3 linked regions of the Elephas maximus indicus genome follow. The protein of the gene in region 1 interacts with the protein of each later gene in a biochemical or structural test. Links are inferred from orthologs where the notes say so. Each region holds a gene or a part of one and is shown on either strand. Other genes may lie near its edges.

Region 1 (7,848 bases):
GCAATACCGAAGGATTCTACAGGAAAAAAATATTAAACAATGCAGCATCAAAAGAAGATGGAAGGAAGCTCACTCATCTATGCCAAGAAATTTGGAAGACAGCTACCTGGCCAACTGACTGGAAGAGATCCATATTTGTGCCCATTCCAAAGAAAGGTGATCCAACAGAACACAGAAGTTATAGAACAATATCATTAATATTACATGCAAGTAAAATTTTGCTGACGATAATTAAAAAACGGTTGCAACAGTACATTGACAGGGAACTGCCAGGATTAAAGCTGCACTGAGAAGAGGACATGAAACAATATTACTGCTGATGTCAGATGGATTTTGGCTGAAAGCAGAGAATACCAGAAAGATGTTTACCTGTGTTTCATTGACTATGCAAAGGCATTCCATTGTGCAGATCATAACAAATTATGAATAACACTGCGAAGAATGGTAATTCTAGAACACTTAATTGTGCTCATGTGGAACCTGTATGTAGACCAAGAGGCAGTTATTCAAACAGAACAAGGCAATACTTCATAGTTTAAAAGTCAGGAAAAGTGTGCAACAGGGTTGCATCCTTTCACTATATTCAACCTGTATGCTGAGTAAATAATCCGAGAAGCTGGACTGTATGAAGAAGAATGGGGCATTAGAAGTGTAGACTCATCAGCAACCTCTGATATGCAGATGACACAACCTTGTTTGCTGGAAGTGAAAAAGACTTGAAGCATTTATTGATGAAGATCAAAAACTACAATCCTCAGTATGGACTGCACCTCAATATAAAGAAAACAAAAATCTTCACACATGGACCAATAAGCAACATGATGATAAACAGGGAAAACATTAACAATGTCAAGGATTTCATTTTACTTGGAATTATAATCAACGTCCATGGAAGCAGCAGTCAAGAAATCAAAAGACACATTGTATTGGGCAAATTGGCTGCAAAAGATCTCTTTAAAGTGTTTAAAAGCAAAATGCCACTTTTAGGACTAAGTTATGCCTGACCCAAGCCATGTATTTTCAATCACCTCATATGCATGCAAAAGCTGGACAATGAATACGGAAAATTGAAGAAGAACTGACGCCTATGAACAATGGTGCTGATGAAGAATACGGAGTATACCACGGATTGCCAGAGGAACCTAACAAGTCTGTCTTTGAAGAAATAAAGCCAGAGTGCTCCTTCGAAGCAAGGATAGCACGACTTTGTCTCAGGTACTTTGGACATGTTATCAGGAGGGTCCAGTCCCTGAAGAAGGACATTATGCTTGGTAAAGTACAGGATCAGCAAAAAAGAGGAGGCTTTCAATGAGGTGGATTGAGACAGTGGCTGAAACAATGGGTTCAAGAATAACAATTGTGAGGGTGGCACAGGACTGGGCAGTGTTTCATTCTGTTGTACACAGGGTCGCTATGAGTCAGAACGACTCAACAGCACCTAACAACAGAAACCTGCTTTGCAAAATTTCTTCAGTTCTACCAGTAACATTTGACATTTTAACTGCCCCACAAACATGACTATTCCCTCTTAGACAGGCTCCCATCTCTCTTCACTCCCACCTCACAATATGGGCTACCCACAGCCATGTTCATTAAACAGCAAATCAGGATTTCTTCATTTGATTTCACTTCTTCATTCACAGACCAACTGCTGGCATTTTAGTAATAGCTTAAGTGCCAATCTTGCCCATAAGTTTTCAACTCAAATTCATCTTTCACAAAATAATCTTCCTAGAACACCACTTTTATCTTAACATTTCCTTTTTTAAGCCCAAAGACTGATGATGAGGATGATAACAGCAAAAAGAACACATGTTGGCAGCTAACATCTGAAGGTTTACCATGGGCCAGGCATTGTAGTTTTACATACATTATCTTATTTAACTCTCAAGTGGATCCATGAAGTATATACATTATTACACCCATTTTATAGATGGCAAAACTAAGGCTATACTGCAGGGATTATTATTTCAGGTTCTGTACACCTATAAGGTCTGTAAATGTGTGTCAGGAGACTGTGAACCCCCTCAAATGGCTAGGCCTAAGGTTGTGTGGATGTGCATTTTTGGAAGAAAAGATTCATGGCTTTATTTGAATCTCAGAAGATGCATGACTTGAACATGATTATTAACTGCTGCCACAATGGTTAAACATTCTCAATTAAATCATAATAAAATTCCTGAGTCTGATGTTAGCTGCCCCCCACCTACAATCTTATCTCCTTCCCTGTGAAGCCACTGATCGTTTTCACCAGCTCGTCCTCACACTATTTCCTACCTGAAATGCATCCTCACCTCCAAAGCCAACCCATGCTTTCGAAGGCCTAACTCCAGACCCTCCATGACGCCTTCCTTGTCTACTCCGGTCCCTACAGATATCACACTCACAGGCCTCCAGTCACAAACACGAACACGCACATTCCAACAGACAGCCCCCCTGTAGCCCCATTTTCTCACCCATTCCTGCTCACACGTACACGTTCTGACATTCATCTGCCTCACACACCCTAACATTGTACACTCACAAAGAGACACATAAAGGCACTGTCACACTCACTAAACAGCTTGTCACACCTTGCCACTCATACCAAAAGTTCCCCCTAATAGTTCTATCTCACACGCTGGCCCAGGACCAGTATCACACGTTCCTACGGATATAACCTCAGATTCAGTCACCCAAGTTCACAAGTACAATATCACACACACACACATACCCACTGGCCCACAAACACTGCCTCCAATTCTCACTGACAATCTCTCACACACTGACAGTCCCTAATATTCCACAGACGCTTTGACAAACAGTCACCGCTCCCTCGCGCGTCCGGGCTCACCCGATGCTGATACAGGCAGACGTTCCCGAAGCCGCCGGTGCCCAGCCGTTCCCGCATCTCCCAGGGCCCGCCCGCGCCCGGCCGCAGGCCCGGGGGCCCCTCCATGGGGCGGGAGGGGAAGCTGCCTTATACACCGCCGCTGTTCCAAGGCCGGTTCCGGGACGCCGAGGCTCGCGCGCCTTTCTTCTCGCGAGATATGTGTCATTTCCGGTAACTGCCCGAGGAAAAGCCCCGCCCACGTTGTCCAGCGCTCTCTAAAACGCCGCGGGCGAAAGGGTTGGGAGGCGTGGAGGGTGTTCGTCGTCTGCTTTGGAAGTTTCATGGGTCTGTTACTGGCTGAGAGAGCCCACGTGTTTTTTTCCTAATATTGAAAAATATAAGATCTCTCCAGATCTTACATTCCGTTCAAATCACTTTCTAATCTGTCCTGTATTCGTTTTTTTTTTTTTTTTTTCAAATTTAAGATTGTCTGCATCTCTGTATACACTTCCTTCCCCACACCCCAGCCGTGTATACTCCAACCCTGTCACCCGCTGAACTGGCACTGGCAAAGGCCACTGATGATTTAAATGTTAGGGAATCTCAAGAACTAGGAAGACTTCTGCGCTAAGAGGGTCACTGGTTTGCTCCTTAAACGTCCCCATTCTGGAGTCCTAATATGTGGCATAAATAGTATACAAAACACAACTAACAATGCACAAATACCAGAAGAGAAACTAGATAACTGGGAGCTCCTAAAAATCAAACACACTTGTCAAAAGATGTCACCAAAGGGGGGGGGAACTACAGTTAGAGGGAAAAAAATGTGGCTACGACATATCCAATAAGGATCTAATCTCTAAAATCTGTAAGATGCTGCAACATGTGAACAACCAAAACACAGATAATCCAATTTAAAAATGGGCAAAGGATATGAACAGACACTTCACCAAAGACGACATTCAGGCAACTAACAGACACATGAGGAAATGCTGGTGATCATTAGCCAAGAGAAATGCAAATCAAAACTACAATGAGATACCATCTCACCCCAACAAGACTGGCAGTAATCCAAAAAACACAAAATAATAAATGCTGGAGAGGTTGTGTAGAGGTTGATACACTTATGCACTGCTGGAAATGTAAAATGGTACGATCACTTTGGAAAACAATTTGGTGCTTCCTTGAAATAGAAATACCGTACAATCCAGCAACCCCACACCTAGGAATATATCCTAGAGAAATAAGCACCCTCACACAAATAGACACATGCACACCATGTTCATTCCAGCATTATTCACAATAGCAAAATGATGGAAACAACCTAGGTGCCCATCATCAGATGAATGGATAAACAAATTATGGTACATACCCACAATGGAATACTACACAACGATAAAGAACAATGATGAATCCTCTAAACATCTCGCAACATGGACAAATCTGGAGGGCATTATGTTGAGTGAAATTAGTCAGTCACAAAAGGTCAAATATTGTATGAGACCACTATTATAAGAACTCAAGCTTTAAACGAAGTAGAAAGCATTCTTTGATGGTTACAAGGGTGGAGAGGGAGGAGAAGGGGAATTCACTTACTAGATAGTAGACCAGAATAAGTTCAGTGAAGGGAAAGTCAGCACAACTGGACCAAAGCAAAAGCTAAGAAATTTCCTGGACATATCGAAACACCTCGAGGGACAGACTAGCTGGGGCTGGAGCCTGGGGACCATAGTTCTGGGGGACATCTAGGTAAACTGGCATAACAAAGTTTATTAAGAAAATGTTCTGCATCCCACTTTGGTGAGTGGTGTCTGGGGTCTTAAAAGCTTGGAAACGATGATCTAAGATGCATCAATTGGTCCCATCCTACTGGGTACTTGGAGCAAAGGAGAATGAAGCCAGAGACGCGAGGAAAACATTAGCCCAAGAGACTAAAGGACCACATAAACCAGAGTCTTCACCAGCCTGAGACCACCAATGACTGCCCTAACCAGGAACACAAGAGAGTCCTGGATGGAGTGGGAGAAAAGTGTTGAGCAAAATTCAAATTCCCATAAAAAGACCAGATTTAATGGTCCGACAGAGACTGGAGGAAGCCCTAAAATTATGGCCCCCAGACATTGTTAACCCAGGACTGAAACCATTGCCAAAGCCCACCTTTCAAAGATTAGACAGGAATATAAAAGAAAAAATAATACAAGTGAAGAGTAATTCAATGAGATACACGAGACCAAATGGGCAGCTTCTGTCCAGAGGCAGGATGAGAAGGCAGAAAAGGACAGGAACTGGTTGAATGGACCCAGGGAACCTAGGGTAGAAAGGGGAAGTGTACTGTCACATTGTGGGGATTGCAAGTAATGTCACAAAACAATATGTGTATACGTTTTTGTACGAGAAATTAACTTGAGCTATAAGTTTCCACAATTAAAAAAAAAAAAAGTACTCATTCTTAGGGATACGGCATAGCTCATTTTTTTAAATCCCAGGCTGGTAGGCCCCAGACTCCACAATCAAGTTTGTGAGTCTCAGCTTCATCAGGTGTAAAATGGAAGTGGTGATACCCACCTCGTAGAGATTTTGTAAGGACTAAGTGAAATCCAGTGTCTGGGCCATAAACCTGTTGCCATTCAGCCTATTCCGACTCATGGCGACCCTATAGGACAGAGTAGAACTGCCCCCATAGTGTTTCAACTGCCACATATTTCTCCTCTGGGCCACACATGCCCAATATATAGGAGGAATTTTTTTGACAGTCTCCTGAGATCTCTCTCTTTGCTTCTTCTCCATGTACTTGTTGGATCACTCCAAGTACTCCTTAAATAGTAATACTTCTCAGGTAGTCATCCTCAGCTTAGAGCTTTAACTCTTATTTTCATCCATCCTTTTTATTTAATGTACTGCCTATATCCTGATGATACCCAAATCCCTATCACCAACCTAAATCTCCATGAGTTTAGAACTCTCCAGCAGCACCCAGGATGCATCCGTTACAAATCTTTGGCATCTAAAACTCAACATATCCAAAGCAGAAATCATCTTTTTTTCTTAAATCTGTCCCTTCTCTTCCCAATTAGACTGTAAACTATGGGACAACAGGGACCATGTTAGGACATAACTATACTCCCAGAGCCTAGAAAAGTGCCTAGCACATAGGAGTTAAATATTTGCTGAAGGACTGAATGAGCTTTTATGCATCAGTAAGATGACTGCTATAAAAGAAAAGTGGCAAAGGCCTTGGGTCCCTTCTCAAAACTAGGTTGCTCAGGGAGAAGCCACCCTGGGTGATTCTGGGATGAAACACTGGGCCTAAAACCCTGGCCCCTCCTATTACATGCACTACATCATTTCAAGGATCACAGGTAACATGAACACAAGACACTTCTCAACCATAGAAAAGCCTTTGGATTTTATTTGATAGTCTACATGTTTTTTAAAATGTTGATAAACACAAGCTGGTACTTGGAGCTGGATGACAGACATGCTTTTAACATAGGACTTTCATCCTAGAATGTGACTTCTTCCAAAAATTATTCAGTCCTAGACCTTTTGCTGTGGGCAGGTTCCACGGGAATACATGAAAGAGAGGCAGGGAAACAGTCCTCATAGGAAACTGCAGTTTCTTTAAAAACAGGTGGATGAACCTGTGAAGTTCGTAAAGTGTCTTTCCCTTTAGTTAGTCATCCAGAGTGAAGTCAAAGGGCTCAAAGTCTTTCCGGAAGCGGCGGGCTAGGGTCTCTTCCTCTTCTCTGCTGATCTGACACTGCCTCCAATCGGACTTGTCAGGAATATTAAGAATGGCTTCACTGGCCAGGACCTCCCTGCAGAAAGGACACAAAGAAGTCAAAATGGACAGTATCAGCCCCAAAATCCCTCCTCCCTCTGTTCTTCACCAGCCAGAGAGCTCTCCTCAGCATCACCCAAAGAAGGTATGCAAATTTCTCTGACTTTGCTCATACCATTCTCCTGCTCTGAGCGCCACTGCTGCCATCTGTCTACTAAAATCATACCCATTTTAAGTGACCAGCTCAGGTCCTACCTCTTTCCTAATAGCTTGTACCCCATTAACTTCTTTTCTTGAACAAACTTGGAACTATGGAATTGGTACTTAGAGAAGCAATATGGCACAGTAGAAAGAAGGCAGGCCCTGGAGTCAGACCGCAGATAAATTCCATTCCTAGCTTAGCCACATGCTGTCTATGACTTGAACAAATGACTTTCAGCTGTGAGTCTTGATTTCCTCATCCACGAAATGAGAACACCTACTACCACCTACCTTACAAGGCTTTGCGAAATGGGGAGCTAACACAGAGCACCACAATAGTTGTACTTACATCCTGCCTTAAACTCTAGTTTTGACATCCCAACTAGATCAGGAGTTTGCCAAGGGCCTGGTGCAGTCAGACACTCAAGTGTCATACCCACTCTGACTTGAAATTCCTCTGCCTCTCCTTCTAAGGATTCAGGTCTAGACAGGCACAGCAGCATAAATTCACTCTCAACAAAACAACTTATCTTGGCCCTCAGGACTAAAAAATAACCACACACAGACACACATATAAAATGTCACTACGTACAAACTTTCTTCTAATTGCCATTGCTTTTTTATCTTTATTTTTACTTATTTTTGATATATTAGAAATAACTGTTTGCATATCATATGGTCCATATTCCACTTTGAAGCTATGATAAATAGAAGGGTTGAATTCAAATCACACAAATCCTCTAAAAGTCAAAGGACCTGAACTCAAGTCCTAGCTCTCTAGGCAAACCTTTGAGCCTACTTCATCTATAAAATGAAGATGGCACTACCTTTCTTGTATAGCTGGAAAAAAAAAAGCCTTTTCAAGTATTTTGTTAACTACAAATTGCTGTAATAACTGTAAATAGTATTTTAGAAAACAATGCTGAAAATACAACTGACTATCATGAACACAAAACCATGCACAGAATCTCCCTTTTGTGGGCTCTATATTTTTGATCACATGCCTATGTCATCAGTGTCCACATCTGTATCTGTTGCTGCGGCAACAACAAAA
Region 2 (7,248 bases), on another chromosome or scaffold:
AGACACTGTTTGTTGTCACAACTCTGGCTGGGAGGGACTACTGGCATCTAGTGGGTAGAGGCCGGGAATGCTATTAAACATCCTACAGTGCACAGGATAGCCCCTTACAACAAAAAATTATCCAACCCAAAATGTCAATAGTGTCAGGGTTGAGAAACCCTGGATTAGAGGTGAAGATTTGGTGAGATCATGCCCAAGAAGCAAGTACTTACCAGTGTCTGGCAACTAGTAAACACTCAAAAAATAGGAGCTGTTATTCTGAGATTTTTCTTTGTGGAAGATCATGGTCTAACCTTTCTATTTCCAGATCCAAGCCTTTGGGGTGGAATGTGGAAACCCTTGAGCGCTGAGAACCTTGCTCACTGCTCCAGGTGTGAATCACTCTGTAAATGTCAATTTCTTTTATTGAAAGCAGAACTGAGGCCATACCAGTGACTCAGGACTAGGAGCCATCCCAGGCTGTGGTGACCTAACTAGCCTGGCGTGGAGGAAGTGATTTTGCCCTGAAGCTCTCCTTCCAGGGGGTGCAAAATGAAGCATTTCAAGACTCAGAGACTCCAAGGGGCTCACTTGAAGGGGCTTAGAAAGACCGAGAAAAGCAGCCAAAACCCTGCTTGTCTCCAGATATCTTCCTCACTGGGTGGTTTGTTCCTTCCAGGACTTTGAACTGATTTGTTCTGGTTTGAACTCCTGCTGCAAATTTGCATTTTTGGTAAGTTCCCAGGTGATGCTATGCTGCTAGTTAGGGACCAATTCTGAGAACCACCAGTAGAGCAGTGGTTATCAACAATTATCATCTATAAGATTCACCTGGGGATCTTGTTTAGCTGTAGATTCTGATTCAGTATATCTGGGACCAAAAAAAAAAAAGCCAAACCCAGTGCCATCGAGTCGATTCTGACTCATAGTGACCGTATAGAACAGAATAGAACGGCACCATAGAGTTTCCAAGGAGCCCCTGGTGGATTCGAACTGCTGACCCTTTGGTTAGCAGCCATACCACTTAACCACCATGCCACCAGGGTTTCCATATCTGGGACAGAAAGGCAAATTCTCAGCAGGAGTTCCTACCAGTTCTTTCCCTGGTTCCTTCCCTGCAACCTAACGTGAAATTCCTTCTCCAGAGCCACAGCTTTGGGCCAAAGAGTTCAATCTCTCCCGTTAATCACATTAGTGTTGTCATTGTTGTTACATGCCATTGAGTCAGTTTCTACTCATAATGTCCCTATGTACAATAGAACGAAACACTGCCCAGTCCTGCACCATCCTCATCATCGTTGCTATGTTCGAGCCCCTGGTTGTAGCCACTGCGTCAATCCATCTCATTGAGGGTCTTCCTCTTTTTTGTTGACCCTCTACTTTACCAAGCATGATGTCCTTCTCCAGGAACTGGTCCCTCCTGATAACATGTCCAATGTATGTGAGACAAAGTCTCACCATCCTCATTTCTAAGGAACATTCTGGCTGTACTTCTTCCAAGACAGATTTGTTCATTCTTCTGGCAGTCCATAGTTTATTCAATATTCTTCACCGACACCATAATTCAAAGGCATCAGTTCTTCTTCGATCTTCCTTATTTATTGTCCAGCTTTTGCATGCATATGAGGCGACTGAAAACACCATGGCTTGGCTCAGGAGCACCTCAGCCTTAAAAGTGACATCTTTGCTTTTCCAGCAGATTTGCCCAATGCAATGTGTCTTCTGACTTGACTGCTGCTTCCATGGCTGTTGATTGTGGATCCGAGTAAAATGAAATCCTTGACAACTTCAATCTTTTCTCTGTTTACTGTGATGTTGCTCATTGGTCCAGTCGTGAGGATTTTTGTTTTCTTTATGTTGAGGTGTAATCCATACTGAAGGCTGTAGTCTTTGATCTCCATCAGTGTTTCAAGTTGTCTTCACTTTCAGCAAGAAAGGTTTTGACATCTGCGTATCACAGTTGTTAAAGGGTCTTCCACCAATCCTGACGTCCTGTTCTTCTTCATATATTCCAGCTTCTCGGGGCAGATAACCTTAGTGGGGTGAGTCGGGCATGCAGGGGGCCCAAGATTAGAGAAGTGCCAAGGGAGCCTGGAGAAGGTACGTGGGCACTGTGTACTAGAGAAGGAATGATGAAAGAGAGGGAAGGCAAAGCTGAGCCAGGGAGCATTTGCAGAATCTGGGTCTGTGCCCACGTCCTTCCTGAGAAGTGGTGTGCCCAGAGGAAACAGGTGAGAGGAGAGGCAAGACATGAATCCAAGCCCAGGAATCCAAGCCCACGGACACTAACCTGTAACCTACCATCTGGCAAGCTCCACCTCTCCCTGAGTCACTGAAACACAGAACCCTGGGGTTGGAGGGAGCTTTAGGAGCCAACAGTCCAGCTTCATTCTTACCCACCATCTCCCTGCTAGTCAGTGGCAGAGCCAGGATTTGCATCAGATATCTGGCTCCAAAGCACAGGCTTTATGGGGCCACAACCTCAAATGCTTCAGGGGCAGACAGGTGGCATAAGGTTAAGTGGTTGCACACAAGACAACAGGGGTGGAGGCTGTAAAGAACTGCAGGCGCTGCTAAGGTATTAAATTAAAAAACAAACAAATAAAAACCACTGGGCCAGCCAAACAAAACATGTCTCTGGCCTGGGAGAGTGGGTGAGGCCCGCAGGTTGTGAGTTTGTGACCCCTGCCTAAATGAATGTTGTTGTATGCCCTCAAGTCAATTCCAACTCATAGTGACCCTATAGGACACAGTAGAACTGCCCATAGAGTTTCCAAGGAGCAGCTGGTGGATTCGGACTGCCAACATTACAGTTAGCAGCCTGAGATCTTGACCACCTCGCCACAGGGCTCCGTGCCTAAATGAATAGTCTTCCCTAACACCTTACCCAACAAACACCTTACCCAAGAGAAGGTGTTTGTTGGGTGCCGATCTTCAGAAAGAGGCTTTGAGCTACCAAAGACTGTCTGAAAAGTGTGATTCCAGCAGAGTGGCCTGGCCTTTGTTCAAACCCTTTTAGAGACTGCTCAAGGCAGCTGCCTTTGATGGGGCCTCCTCACCGTTACCATTAGAGCCAGTCACAACTTGTGTGAGTCCCTGATGGGGGGGGGGGTTACCATGGAAGGGGCACATCTTTTATTTCGCAAACTTTTAAAAATAATTTTTGATTTTTTTTTTTTTTACTATGAAGTACTGGCTCACTGTAGAAACACTGGAAAAAAAAGATAGGTAACTTAGAAAATAAAAAATATCCATACCTTCTATCTCTACTCCCTCTCCCCAATCCCTCCTCCCCATTCAGACAGAAGCACTGTTGACACCTCGGTGGTATTTAAACTCAAGTCCTTTCTTTGCATATGCAAGGCTTTAATCTTTCTGGTTTTGTAACCTTTATGGTCCCTATGAGTCGGAGTAGCCTCAACCGCAATGGCTTTGGTTTTTGGTTTGGTAACCTGCATACCCAGCGAGGAGATGCTTCGCCCAGGGTTAGCACCACGTTGTTTCTCTGGCAGGGGAGGCTTTGCATCACGTCAGCCGCACGCTCTCATTGGGCTCTGATTTGAACACACGTTTTTATCCGACCTGTGACCTGTGTAGGCCCTTGGCTCCCTAAGCTTTTCGAGGGCAGGCACCGTAACTTGTCTTACTCGTCCTCAAGGACTCTACAGAGTCAGGCATACAGTAAGTGCTCAACAAAAGTATTTCTAATCCCATCACCCCCGACCTCAGCAGCCTCCGCCTGGCAGCAAAGGGGAAGTGGAACGACACCCGGGAGGGGGTGCGCCTCGCCGTCTCCAAGGTAACCGAAATCAGAGGCTGGGAGTGCCCACGCATGCGCACACTCTCCTTTCCTTCCCGTAACCTCAAGAAAAACGCAACCGGTAAAAAGACTGCCCGCAGCCGAGCGCGCATGTGTGGTTACACCAATCACTTCGGCCGCCTCCGCTTTCTGTCAATCTGTCCGCCCAGCAATCTCTTCTCTATAAACACTGTCCGGAAATAGTGCCCATTTCTGGAAACGAGGCCTCGTTAACCAATCGCCGCTAGAGGGGCGGGACAACGGGGAGAGCCTGGGCTAGTATTGGGCCCGTCTCATTGGTTATCTTGGAGGAGTGGGAGGGGCCAAAGGTCGAGACGCGGCCAGAGAAAGCAGGCGCGAAGAGAGGCAAAGTTGCAGCCGCCGGGGGAGGCGTGGCCCCGGGGGCGGCCGGGAAGGCGATGAGGGGGCGGGGCCCGCGGTCGGGGCTGGGCGTCCGTGGGGCGGGGCGACCGTGGGCTGGGAGCTCAGCGGTCGGTGACCGGCGGCGGGAGATCGTGGGAGAAAGGAGCGCGACACTCGCTGGCTGGAGAAATCGGCGCTCGGCCGGTAGGTGACTGAGCCGGACCCCAGGGCCCGTCGTGGGGCGCTCAGGGGGCGGCGGGGACAGCTTGCTCCTCAGCCCATGGCCTGGCCACGGCCTGGCCTGCCGCCGCCCCTTAAGCGGGGGAGCCGGCCGTCCGGTCCCGCGCGGCCCGGCCCTCCTGGTCCGACCCACCCGCGCACGGGCTGTCGGCAGTCGCGGCCGGCCGCCTGCCCTAGCTCACACGCGCTGCCGGGGCTACAGTCGCACGCTTTGCTCGCTCCAGGCCTCCAGGCCGCTCACCACCCCCCCCAGGCCACACGCTCGCCCCAATCGCCCGCAGGGGCGCGCTGCTTCCCCTTCCCCAACACCCCCTCTTCCACTGCGCTCAGATGCCCCCACCGCTAGGCCGCGCCCTCCCCGCACCCCCCGGGTGCCCTCCAGGATCGGGGCTCTCTTCGCTCCGGGAGCAAGGTGTCTTATGCTGATGTGCGCCCGGCCCGTGCGCCTTGCCACCTGCCCTGGCCAGTGAAACTCTCGTGGCCGTCCCCGGGAAGTTCGTGGGTCACGCTCCGAGGCGGGGAGAAGGAGCAGAGCCTGCCCTTGGCATCCAGCGGGGCAGTGCTGGCCGCCGGAGCATCTTCCCTCTTTCCTCTGGCCCCAGCCCTGCTCTTTAATTCTTCAGCCCTTTCCACTGAGGACATTCTTATCTGCCGGCTAAGATATAATATTACCACTTGGAAGCCCATCGTGGCCCTGGCAACTTGAAGCGACCGGGCACCAGACAGAAAGAGGACACTTGTACAGTGCAGAGGTTCCCACCTGCCTAGGAGCCTCCCTGGTTCTCGGTAAACTTCAGAAACGTGTTTACTTCCTAGCTGAGTTTAACATGTTGCTCTTGGCTCTCAAAAAGGACGAATGCAGAAAAGGTACAGAAATCAGCAGTAAAAATGGTAAAATTATTTTTGTTACTTGGAGCCAAAGAACAGTAGTGATGTTTAAGGACTAAGAACTCTAAAAGCAAATGAAATTAAATGATAAGATTGGACCATGACACAAACTAGCAGTCTGAAGTTTATTCCTGGAAAAAGGTTGAAAACCCCTTGACTAGAAGCATGGTCTTTATGAAAGATTATAGGGAGATTAGTATCTTAACATTTGTGATGTATTTTTTACTTTACTTAAGTATCTAAGTATCTTGATACCTGTAACCCCTTTTTCCCTTCAGACATCTCTGTGCTAAGATAGATAGTATTGTCCTGTTTTATAAGTGAAGTACCTGAGGGAGGTGGTGGTGGGAATTATGTATATTGCCTGATGCCTCGTACATTGATAGTGGGGGACTTGAGCCTGAGTCGCTCAAGTCATTTCTGCACTCCTTCCCCTGGACCAGAACCACATTATGGGACTCAGATGTAGGAAAGAGGGAGCAGTGTTTGGTGTGGTATTTATGCTCTTAATGTGAGAAGACACTTAGAAGGTGCTCGTCTTGCTTAAGATGCATTCAGATTTACTCTTGGTTTTTTAAAGTAATGTCAAAGTTAGTTTCTTTGGTTCAGTGATAGCAGACCTCTAAGATGTTCAGACACCTTTAGGACATCCTCATTTATTTTGAAGGGTGTGGTGAACTTCTCAGAAGGTCTCAAAATAAAAGTTGTAGTCTCTGACTTTAATTTTAGAAATAAGAACCCAGGTATATGTTTCAGCACTTTTGTGAAATCAGACAGCAGTAAGCTGCTAAGTTTTAGGCTGTCTCCTGAGTGTTTTCAGATGATAAGGAGGAGTTCTAAAGGGGTTTTTTGCCCCTGGTATTGTCTGTCAGAGTTTGTGGGAGTGGCACCATTGACAGAGACCCTGCCAGATGAGCCTTCATCTATTAAACAAAAATGTCTGGCCAGGCTGTTTCGCCTCAACAGATGGAGATTTGGTTCCTCATTTTGATTCTCCTGTTGAACATTGCCTCCTTTGTGATCTGCTTGGAGTGTTTGTGTATCATTTCATGCTGAGAAGTGGACTTGCCCTGATTGGCTGTCCAACCCTAGGCAACTGTTGTGATTTTTTTTTGGTGAGTGATAACAGTCCATCCATGACCTGAGTCTAGTGAGAGATCTGTAGAAATGTGAGAGGTGAAGCTTCATCTAGGGCTGTTTTCTTCCTTGTTGGCACCCTCTTAAGAGTGTTCTGTCCCTTTGGCCTATGAAGTCACTTTTAGTTTCCTATTTTTTTCCTGTTTCAATGGATACCACATGGGCTTTCCTGACAGGCCTAGCCACCTTGATGAAGAGCTGACAGATTCACATTGGTTGACTTGACAGATGTACTTGCTTGGGGAAACGTTAAAAAATCTTAAAACCTAATTCATTGCTAAAGAACAAGTATAAGCTTCATACACAATCAGGCAGCATATTTCTACCAAGGCTTCCATCATCTCAAAGCTGTTTTTTTTTTTCCTGGCAAAAGGTTAAAATGCAACTAAAATTCTGCTTTCATGATTAATAAGTCACTACCGCAGTTGTGTCTGATGCTTCCTGTTTGCCCCATTTTAGTGTTTCAGTTAAACTGGAGACATCGGAGCATTATGGGCACTTTTGACGGCACCAGCATGAAATTGACATGGGGGGAAAATCTGTGTCAGTGGATTATTGGGAATTGTAAGGATAAGCCAGCCCCTCTGGCCTCGGAACACCAAGGTCCCTAGTAAGGGAAAGGAGTGCAGCTGAGCAGCTCCAAGGGGTAGCGTGAACACGTAAAATGATGCACGTGTGAAGGCTTTGCATGTACTTGGTGATGCTGACTGAAATGTCGAAAGCAGTAGATGAGAAATGGAAGGCCAGACATAGGGCAAGTTGTGTAGGAGATCATTTCAGTTGAGCTGGTGGGACATTGAAGTCTGTTAGATATGGGGTCTTAAGTTCTGGGCTTGTCTTAT
Region 3 (6,892 bases), on another chromosome or scaffold:
TAAGCTTATTTGAATCAGAACCTCCCCTTCCAAATGACAGGGCTTACTGCAAGGCACTGACCAAGACATAACGATTTACTCTCCTTGAATAACTTTAGCTTCCCCTTCCTTACCTCCAATGCATACTGGGTCCCCCAAGATCCAGGTGCCTTATGACAGAAAAAAAAAAAATTCTGCGCAAACAGGCCCTAATCACAACCGCGGTATAATATTCACCAAAAAAAAAAAACCATTTGCTGTCGAGTTAGTTCCAACTTGTGGTGACCCCATGTGCGTCACAGTAGAACTGTGCTCCACAGGGCTTTTGATGGCGGAGTTTTTCAGAAGAAGATTGTCAGGCCTTTCTTCCAAGGTGCCTCTGGGAGGACTCGAACTACCAACCTTTCAGTTAGCAGCCAGCACATTAACCTTTTGGACCGCCCAGGGACTCCCCAGCATCCCCCTTAACTTTCTTTTGAAAAGCTCACAGTCCTGCATCTCAGAGGGCTGGGGGTCAGACACAGTCCTGGTGTCCCTGTCTCACCCTTAGTGCTCCCTCTCCTCCCACTACAGTGCTCCATCCATCCAGTTTTGTATTTCTTTCCCCTCCCCTTGCAACTTCCCTTTGAATCAAAGTCACCCTCGCCATGTTTTAACACTATCTGGTATGATTCTTTCTTTGACACTTTTTAAGATTACACAAGCTTTGCAAAAACTTTGAAGGTTAGAAAATGTGTAACTTGGGGCACTTGCCTCATGGTTCTCTCTCCCAGGCCCCATCGAGATAACCGCTATTAGTTAAGTTTTGATGTTAATTATGCCAGCTTTCTCCTCTACATGTAAACGTTCACTATTTTGATAGAAATGGGTCAGGCCCTAGTCTGAGGCTGCACCTTGCAGTTTTCCAGAGAACAGTACAGTACAGACCCACCTCCTCCTTTTAAGCAACTGCATAGCGTCCCATTGTATGGACGAACCAGTTCATTTAACTCATCTACTGACAGCCATTTGAGCTGTTTCCAGCTTTGCCACACTGCAGAGACAATGCTGCGATTTACGTCCTCCATCTCTCTCGGGGACTGAGGATCCCTTTCTAATACTAAGCCTTTTTCTCTGGACCCCACATGACAGCAGTGGTGCTTTGGGAGCTAGGGGGGTTTGAAACCCTGGCCTGAGGGGAAGCTCTCATACCCTCAGTGTCACTGTGCTATGCCTCTGTGAGGTACTTTAATCCCAGCATCTACACTGGTCTACATCTGCAAAGCCATCTCGCATCTGTGGGTGGGCTGGAGACAAAGAGGCTCTGTGGGAGGACTCCAGGGCCCTGCCCAGCCAGGGGCAGCTTTGCCTACAGGGGAGGTGGAGGTGCTGGCGAAGTCTTCCAGCCTCCAGCTTCTAGGAGGCGGCCCTGTCGTCTCAGTGTCTGGAGGGCAGTATGCTGAAGGTCTTGAGTTCCAAACCCTTTCCTGCTCTTCTAGCCAAGGGACAGAAGGCAAGTCTTATCACCTCTGCCCCAGATACCCCAGATACCTCAGATTCCTCATCTACACAACGGGCGTGTGCCTCCCAGGGATATCGGGAAGGTTAAACCAGGCGATGCATACAAAGCACTAAACAGAGTGCCTGGCACAGAGTAACCAAAAAAACCCAAACCCACTGCTGTTGAGTAGATTCCAATTCATAGCCACCCTATAGGACCGAGTAGAACTGCCCCACAGAGTTTCCAAGGAGCGCCTGGCAGATTCAAACTGCCGACCTCTTGGGTAGCAGCTGTAGTACTTAACCACTATACCACCAGCGTTTCCAGCACAGAGTAAGCACTCAATCAATGCTAGCCATGGATATAATTATTCGACCATTCCTAGCCAAAGGAGCCCTAGTGGTGCAACCGGCCAGTGCTCAGTGGCTAACTGAAAGATTGGGGGTTCGAAAGCATGCAGTGGCTACCTGGGAGAAAGACCTGGCAATCTGCTCCTGTAAAGATTACAGCCTAGAAAATCCTATAGGACAGTTCTACTCAGTCACATGGGGCTGCTACGAGTTGGAATCAACTCATGGCACCTAACAACAACCATCCCCAGCCACCAAACTACTGAACAGATCACAGTCTTTCATGCCTCCAGGTCTTTGCACAAACTACATCCTCTGCTTGGAACACCATTTGTCACCTTGTGTAGGAACATTCTAAGCCAGTCTTCACCGACTACACTGTGTCTATATCTCAATCTGACTCCTAGGCCAGCCTGTGGATTCCTCCAGGGAAGGGGCTAGGTAGAGTCTGTGATCCCACAAGGCTTACTCCCACAGTGGCCTGAGATACCTCCATTATTCCCTTATAGACTCATTTTCTAGTGATTTTTCTGTGAGAGCCGTGAGTTCAGGGACCAAATCTGATGTGTGTCTCTCCCAGGCCCAGTACAAATGAGGTTCAGAAGGGATGGGGGGAAGAGGGACAAGGAAAGAGGGAACCTGGGAGGGCAGGCCTGGGACTGGGGTAACACACCCTTCTCTGAAAGTCACCAGAATCCACCATTCCCCAGGAGGCTGCACCCTGGGTGGGGGAGAGGGCCTGGGGCAGTGAGCTGGGGGCCCTAGGGGAACTGGTTTCCCTCTGCCGCCTCCCCCAGTGTGGGATGTAGGAACAAGTCCATCTGTCTCCTTCCCTCCATTCCACCCTTTACCCCATCTCACCTGAGCCTCCTGCACCTTCCCTGCCTGGGTCTCCAGAGGGTCAGAGGCTGGGGGAGGAGGGGAGCAGACATGGTTACAGCAGGGGGGGATGGTTAAGGGGGAATGAAGGGGTTAAGAGCGGGAGTAGGGGGACCCAGAAGACCCACCGACCTAGTCACACTGGGGTAAGGAGTAGAGAGGAGGGGATGAGGAAAAGCTGATCATATTAGAGTGGAGATTGCTGGGAAGGGAGGTGGCTAGTGAGGGACAGAGAGGCAGGGGAGGGACAGGTTTAGGGGGACAGAGAGGAGAAAGGAAGGGATACAGGGTGTGGAAGAAGAGTTAGAAAGAGTTAGAAAGGGCACAGCCGTGTGTGTGTGTTGAGGGGGTTAGGTTTCCAGGGTGGAGGGAAATTTAGGAAGAAAGGAGGTAGGAAGGGATACCCTGGCTGGGAGGCGGGTTTGGGAGAGGAGGTGCGGTGGCGGTGGTAGGTTTAGGAGAGGTACAGGAACTAGAGGGAAGAGATAGGAGGGAACACCGGGGCCGCCTAGCATCATACAGCTGCCCCTAACAACCAGGTACCCTTAGCAACCGGGATCGCGGCAACGAGGGTCCTTAGCAACGAGGGTCGAAAAACATGCGATTATCAGTAACACGGTAAAGTGACCCTTAAAACCTCGCGACCCAGAAACCCAACAACCTATCGACACAGAGCATTTAGCAATGGCCCTTCAAATTCCACTCCCCCACGCAGCCTCCACCTCCTGCCCCACCGCGCCCGCTCTCGGGCCCCAGGGCCTGGATCACGAAACCAGGCCCCGGTGCGGCCCGTCCCTCCCACCAGAGCCCTCGACTCACGGTCCGGCTCGGCCATGGGCGCGGGGCCGGGGCCCTCGGGGCTGTCACCGACTGCTCTGTCCCGTGACGGCACCGGAAGGGGGAGAGGCAAGGAAGAGGCAGAGAACTACAACTCCCAGAAGCAATAGCGGCCGCAGACAAGCGATTCTCTCAAAGATCGGAGCGCGTCCCTCCGGATAAGGAAGGTACACGAGAGCCGGACTACGAGTCCCAGAGGGCCGCGCGTCGGCAGCCATGTTGGTAAAGGGCGCCCGGAAAATGTGGGAACAGGTCGAGAGCTGTAGTCCATTCCGACACTCTGATTGGTCTTGGTGCGAGATTGGGCGGGACGTGAGCGATTTAGCCCACTCTTATTGGAGACAGTAGGGGGAGTGTTGGGGAATTCCCCGCAGGGCGGAAGCTCCAGAGGTCCGGGCACAGCCCAGAGGCAGGCAGGCTGGCGGAGGGCGGCCTCTGGGGTCCCGGAGGCAGAGGGGGGCATGGCCGGGGTCGCGTGCTTGGGGAAAGCCGCAGATGCGGATGAGTGGTGCGACAGCGGCCTGGGCTCGTTGGGTCCGGACGCAGCGGTCCCCGGAGGACCGGGGCTGGGCGCAGAGCTGGGCCCGGGGCTTTCGTGGGTGCCCCTCGTCTTCGGCTACGTCACTGAGGATGGGGACACGTGAGTGAACCTTAGACTCCCGAACCGGCCCCAAGGATCCAACCTCGGATAAGATCAGCTTTACCTGATACCCCAGTGGTCTGATCCGGCTTTCTAACCTTTACTCCTAAATCTGACCTCTGATCCTTGACTTCCTGACGTCTAACTCCCAAATCCTAATCTTTAATAAATCAATCTATCCAACTTTGATCTTAACCATATATGTGTGTGTATATATATATATATGTAAATTTTTTTTTTAAACCCAATCATTTTTGACTCTCCTTTCTTGAACTCTTGATTCTTAGTTCCTGGAATCCACATCCCTAACCCACTGATCCCAAAACCCAATTTGACCTCATGTGGCCCGAGACCTCTAACCTCCTGACCTCTAACCTCCAGACATGGTCTTTAATCCTTAATTCATGATTTGTAAGCCTAGACTTTGATTTCTGACATTATAGTTGGCCCCTGACTCTAAGGTCCTGCCTCTGGAGCAGTAATTTTCAAATCTTTCATTCAGAGAGAGATTGTAAGCTCCATGAGAGCAGGGATTCATCCATTCAACAAATATTTATTGAAAACTACCATGTTTTGAAGCCCTGGTTGCATAGTGGTTAAGAACTTGGCTGCTAACCAAAAGGTCAGCAGTTTGACTCCACCAGCCGCTCCTTGAAAACCCTATGGGGGCAATTCTACTCTATCCCATAGGGTCACTATGAGTTGGAATTGACTGGATGGTAGTGGGTTTTTTTTTTTTTTTTTGGTACCATGTGCCAGGCCCTGTTTTAGATGCCAGTGATAAGGTTATGAAGAAAACAGACAAAAAGTTATGTCCTTATGGAGCATACATTCTAGGTGGGAGAGCTAGACAGACAGAAGGTCAGACAGAAAGAAAGACAGGAAGGAAGGAAATAAAAACATAGTCTATCAGAAGATAGCAAGTGTTACGGAGAAATAGCAGGAAAATGAGACAAATAGGTATCTGGAAAGAAGAGAATTGCAGGCAGAAGGAATAGCAGTCATACAGGCCTGGGGTCTTTTGTCAGTTTTGTTTATTGCTGTACCCCAGTGACTTGGACAGTGCCAGACCCGTAGTAACCAACGAGTTGCTGTGAAGTTGGTGCTGTCTCATGACAACACCACGTGTATCAAAGCAGAACTGTGTGCCACAGGGTTTTCGATGGCTGATTTTTTGGAAGTAGATCTCCAGGCCTTTCTCCCTAGGTGCTTCTAGGTGGATTCAAACCTCTAGCTTTTCGGTTAGCAGCCAAGGATGTTAACCATGTTAACCATTTGTACCACCCACCATCTCCTAGATCCATACCAACCAGTTGCCTTCAAGTCCGTTCCAACTCACGGCAACCCCATGTGTGTCGGTAGAACTGTGTTCCACAGTATTTTCAGTGGCTGTTTTTTTTGGTTTTTTAGAAGTAGATCTCCAGGACTCTCTTTTCCTTGGCAGTTAATAAACATTGGCCTTCTCAAAGAACCAGGTTGTTTTTTCATTAATTTTCCCTGTTGTTTTTCTGCTTTCTATTTCATTGATTTCTGTTCTGATCTTAATTATTTCCTTTCTTCTTACTTTAGTTTTAATTTATTCTTCTTTTCCTAACTTTCTAAGATAGGAGCTGAGCTTATTGACTTGAGCCTTTTCCCTTTTATCTGATACAGGCGTATAGCTGTATAAATTTTCCCCTTACTACTGCTTTAGTGGAAACCCTGGTGGTGTAGTGGTTAAGTGCTGCGACTGCTAACCAAAGGGTTGGCGGTTCGAATCCGCCAGGCATTCCTTGGACGCTTTATGGGGCAGCTCTACTCTGTCCTGTAGGTTCGCTGTGAGTTGGAATCGACTCGACGGCAGTGGGTTTGGTTTTGGTTTGGTACTGCTTTAGCAATATCTCACAAATTCTGATGTGTTGTGTTTTCATTTTCATTTAATTCAATATGCTTTCTATTTCTCTTTTGATTTCTTATTTGACCCTTGGGTTATTTAAAAGTATGTTGTTTAGCTTCCAAATATTTGGAAGGTTTTCCACGCTTCTTTCTGTTAACAGATTTTTTAATTTGATTTCATGTGGCCAGAAAACATACTTAGTATGGTTTGAATCCTTTTGAATTTATTGAGACTTGTTTTATGGCCCAGAATATGGTCTGTCTCGGTAAATGTTACATGTGTGCTTGAGAAGGATGTGCGTTATGCCATTGTTGCAAGGAGCGTTTTCCAAAGGTCAGTTGGGTCAAGTTGGTGTATAGTGTTTTCTAGTTTTGCTGATTTTCTGTCTACTTGTTATACCAATTATTGAGAGGGGTGTATTGAAATCTCCAACTGTAATTGGGGATTTGTCTGTTTTTCCTTGTAATCCTGTTGGTTTTTGCTTTGTGTATTTTGAAGCTCTGATATTAACGGCTCTACTCTGATAATAAAATACTCCAGCTTTCTTGTGACCAGCGTTAGCATGGTATATCTTTTCCATCTTTTAATTTTTAACTTATTTGTGTCTTTATATTTAAAGGGCATTAAAAAAAATTTTTTTTATTGTGCTTTAAGTGAAAGTTTACATATCAAGTCAGTCTCTCACACAAAAACTTATATACACCTTGCTACATACTCCCTATTGCTCTCCCCCTAATGAAACAACCCACTCCCTCCCTCCACTCTCTCTTTTCGTTCCATTTCGCCAGCATCTAACCCCCTCCACCCTCTCATCTCCCCTCCAGGGAGGCGATGCCAGCATAGCCTCAAGT

What was found. The genes of interacting proteins can lie anywhere in the genome.
Region 2: of the proteins of CHUK (region 1) and MAP3K14, one has a biochemical effect on the other in vitro, tested with the Homo sapiens proteins (5 studies listed by BioGRID and IntAct, with this or other methods). The link is inferred for Elephas maximus indicus from reciprocal best matches to the Homo sapiens genes CHUK and MAP3K14.
Region 3: of the proteins of CHUK (region 1) and NFKBIB, one has a biochemical effect on the other in vitro, tested with the Homo sapiens proteins (2 studies listed by BioGRID). The link is inferred for Elephas maximus indicus from reciprocal best matches to the Homo sapiens genes CHUK and NFKBIB.

The regions. Positions count from the first base shown.
Region 1 is NC_064834.1:51,889,283-51,897,130, forward strand, and holds the start of CHUK (inhibitor of nuclear factor kappa-B kinase subunit alpha), read right to left. Parts: upstream 3,005-7,848; 5' UTR 2,939-3,004; coding exon 2,834-2,938; intron 1-2,833. Other genes in the region: CWF19L1 (CWF19-like protein 1), read right to left, coding at 6,486-6,630.
Region 2 is NC_064837.1:51,659,086-51,666,333, reverse strand, and holds the start of MAP3K14 (mitogen-activated protein kinase kinase kinase 14), read left to right. Parts: upstream 1-4,244; 5' UTR 4,245-4,345; intron 4,346-7,248.
Region 3 is NC_064829.1:112,633,633-112,640,524, reverse strand, and holds the start of NFKBIB (NF-kappa-B inhibitor beta), read left to right. Parts: upstream 1-3,888; 5' UTR 3,889-3,986; coding exon 3,987-4,165; intron 4,166-6,892. Other genes in the region: SIRT2 (NAD-dependent protein deacetylase sirtuin-2), read right to left, coding at 2,671-2,717, 3,508-3,523. UniProt on the Homo sapiens protein: Inhibits NF-kappa-B by complexing with and trapping it in the cytoplasm.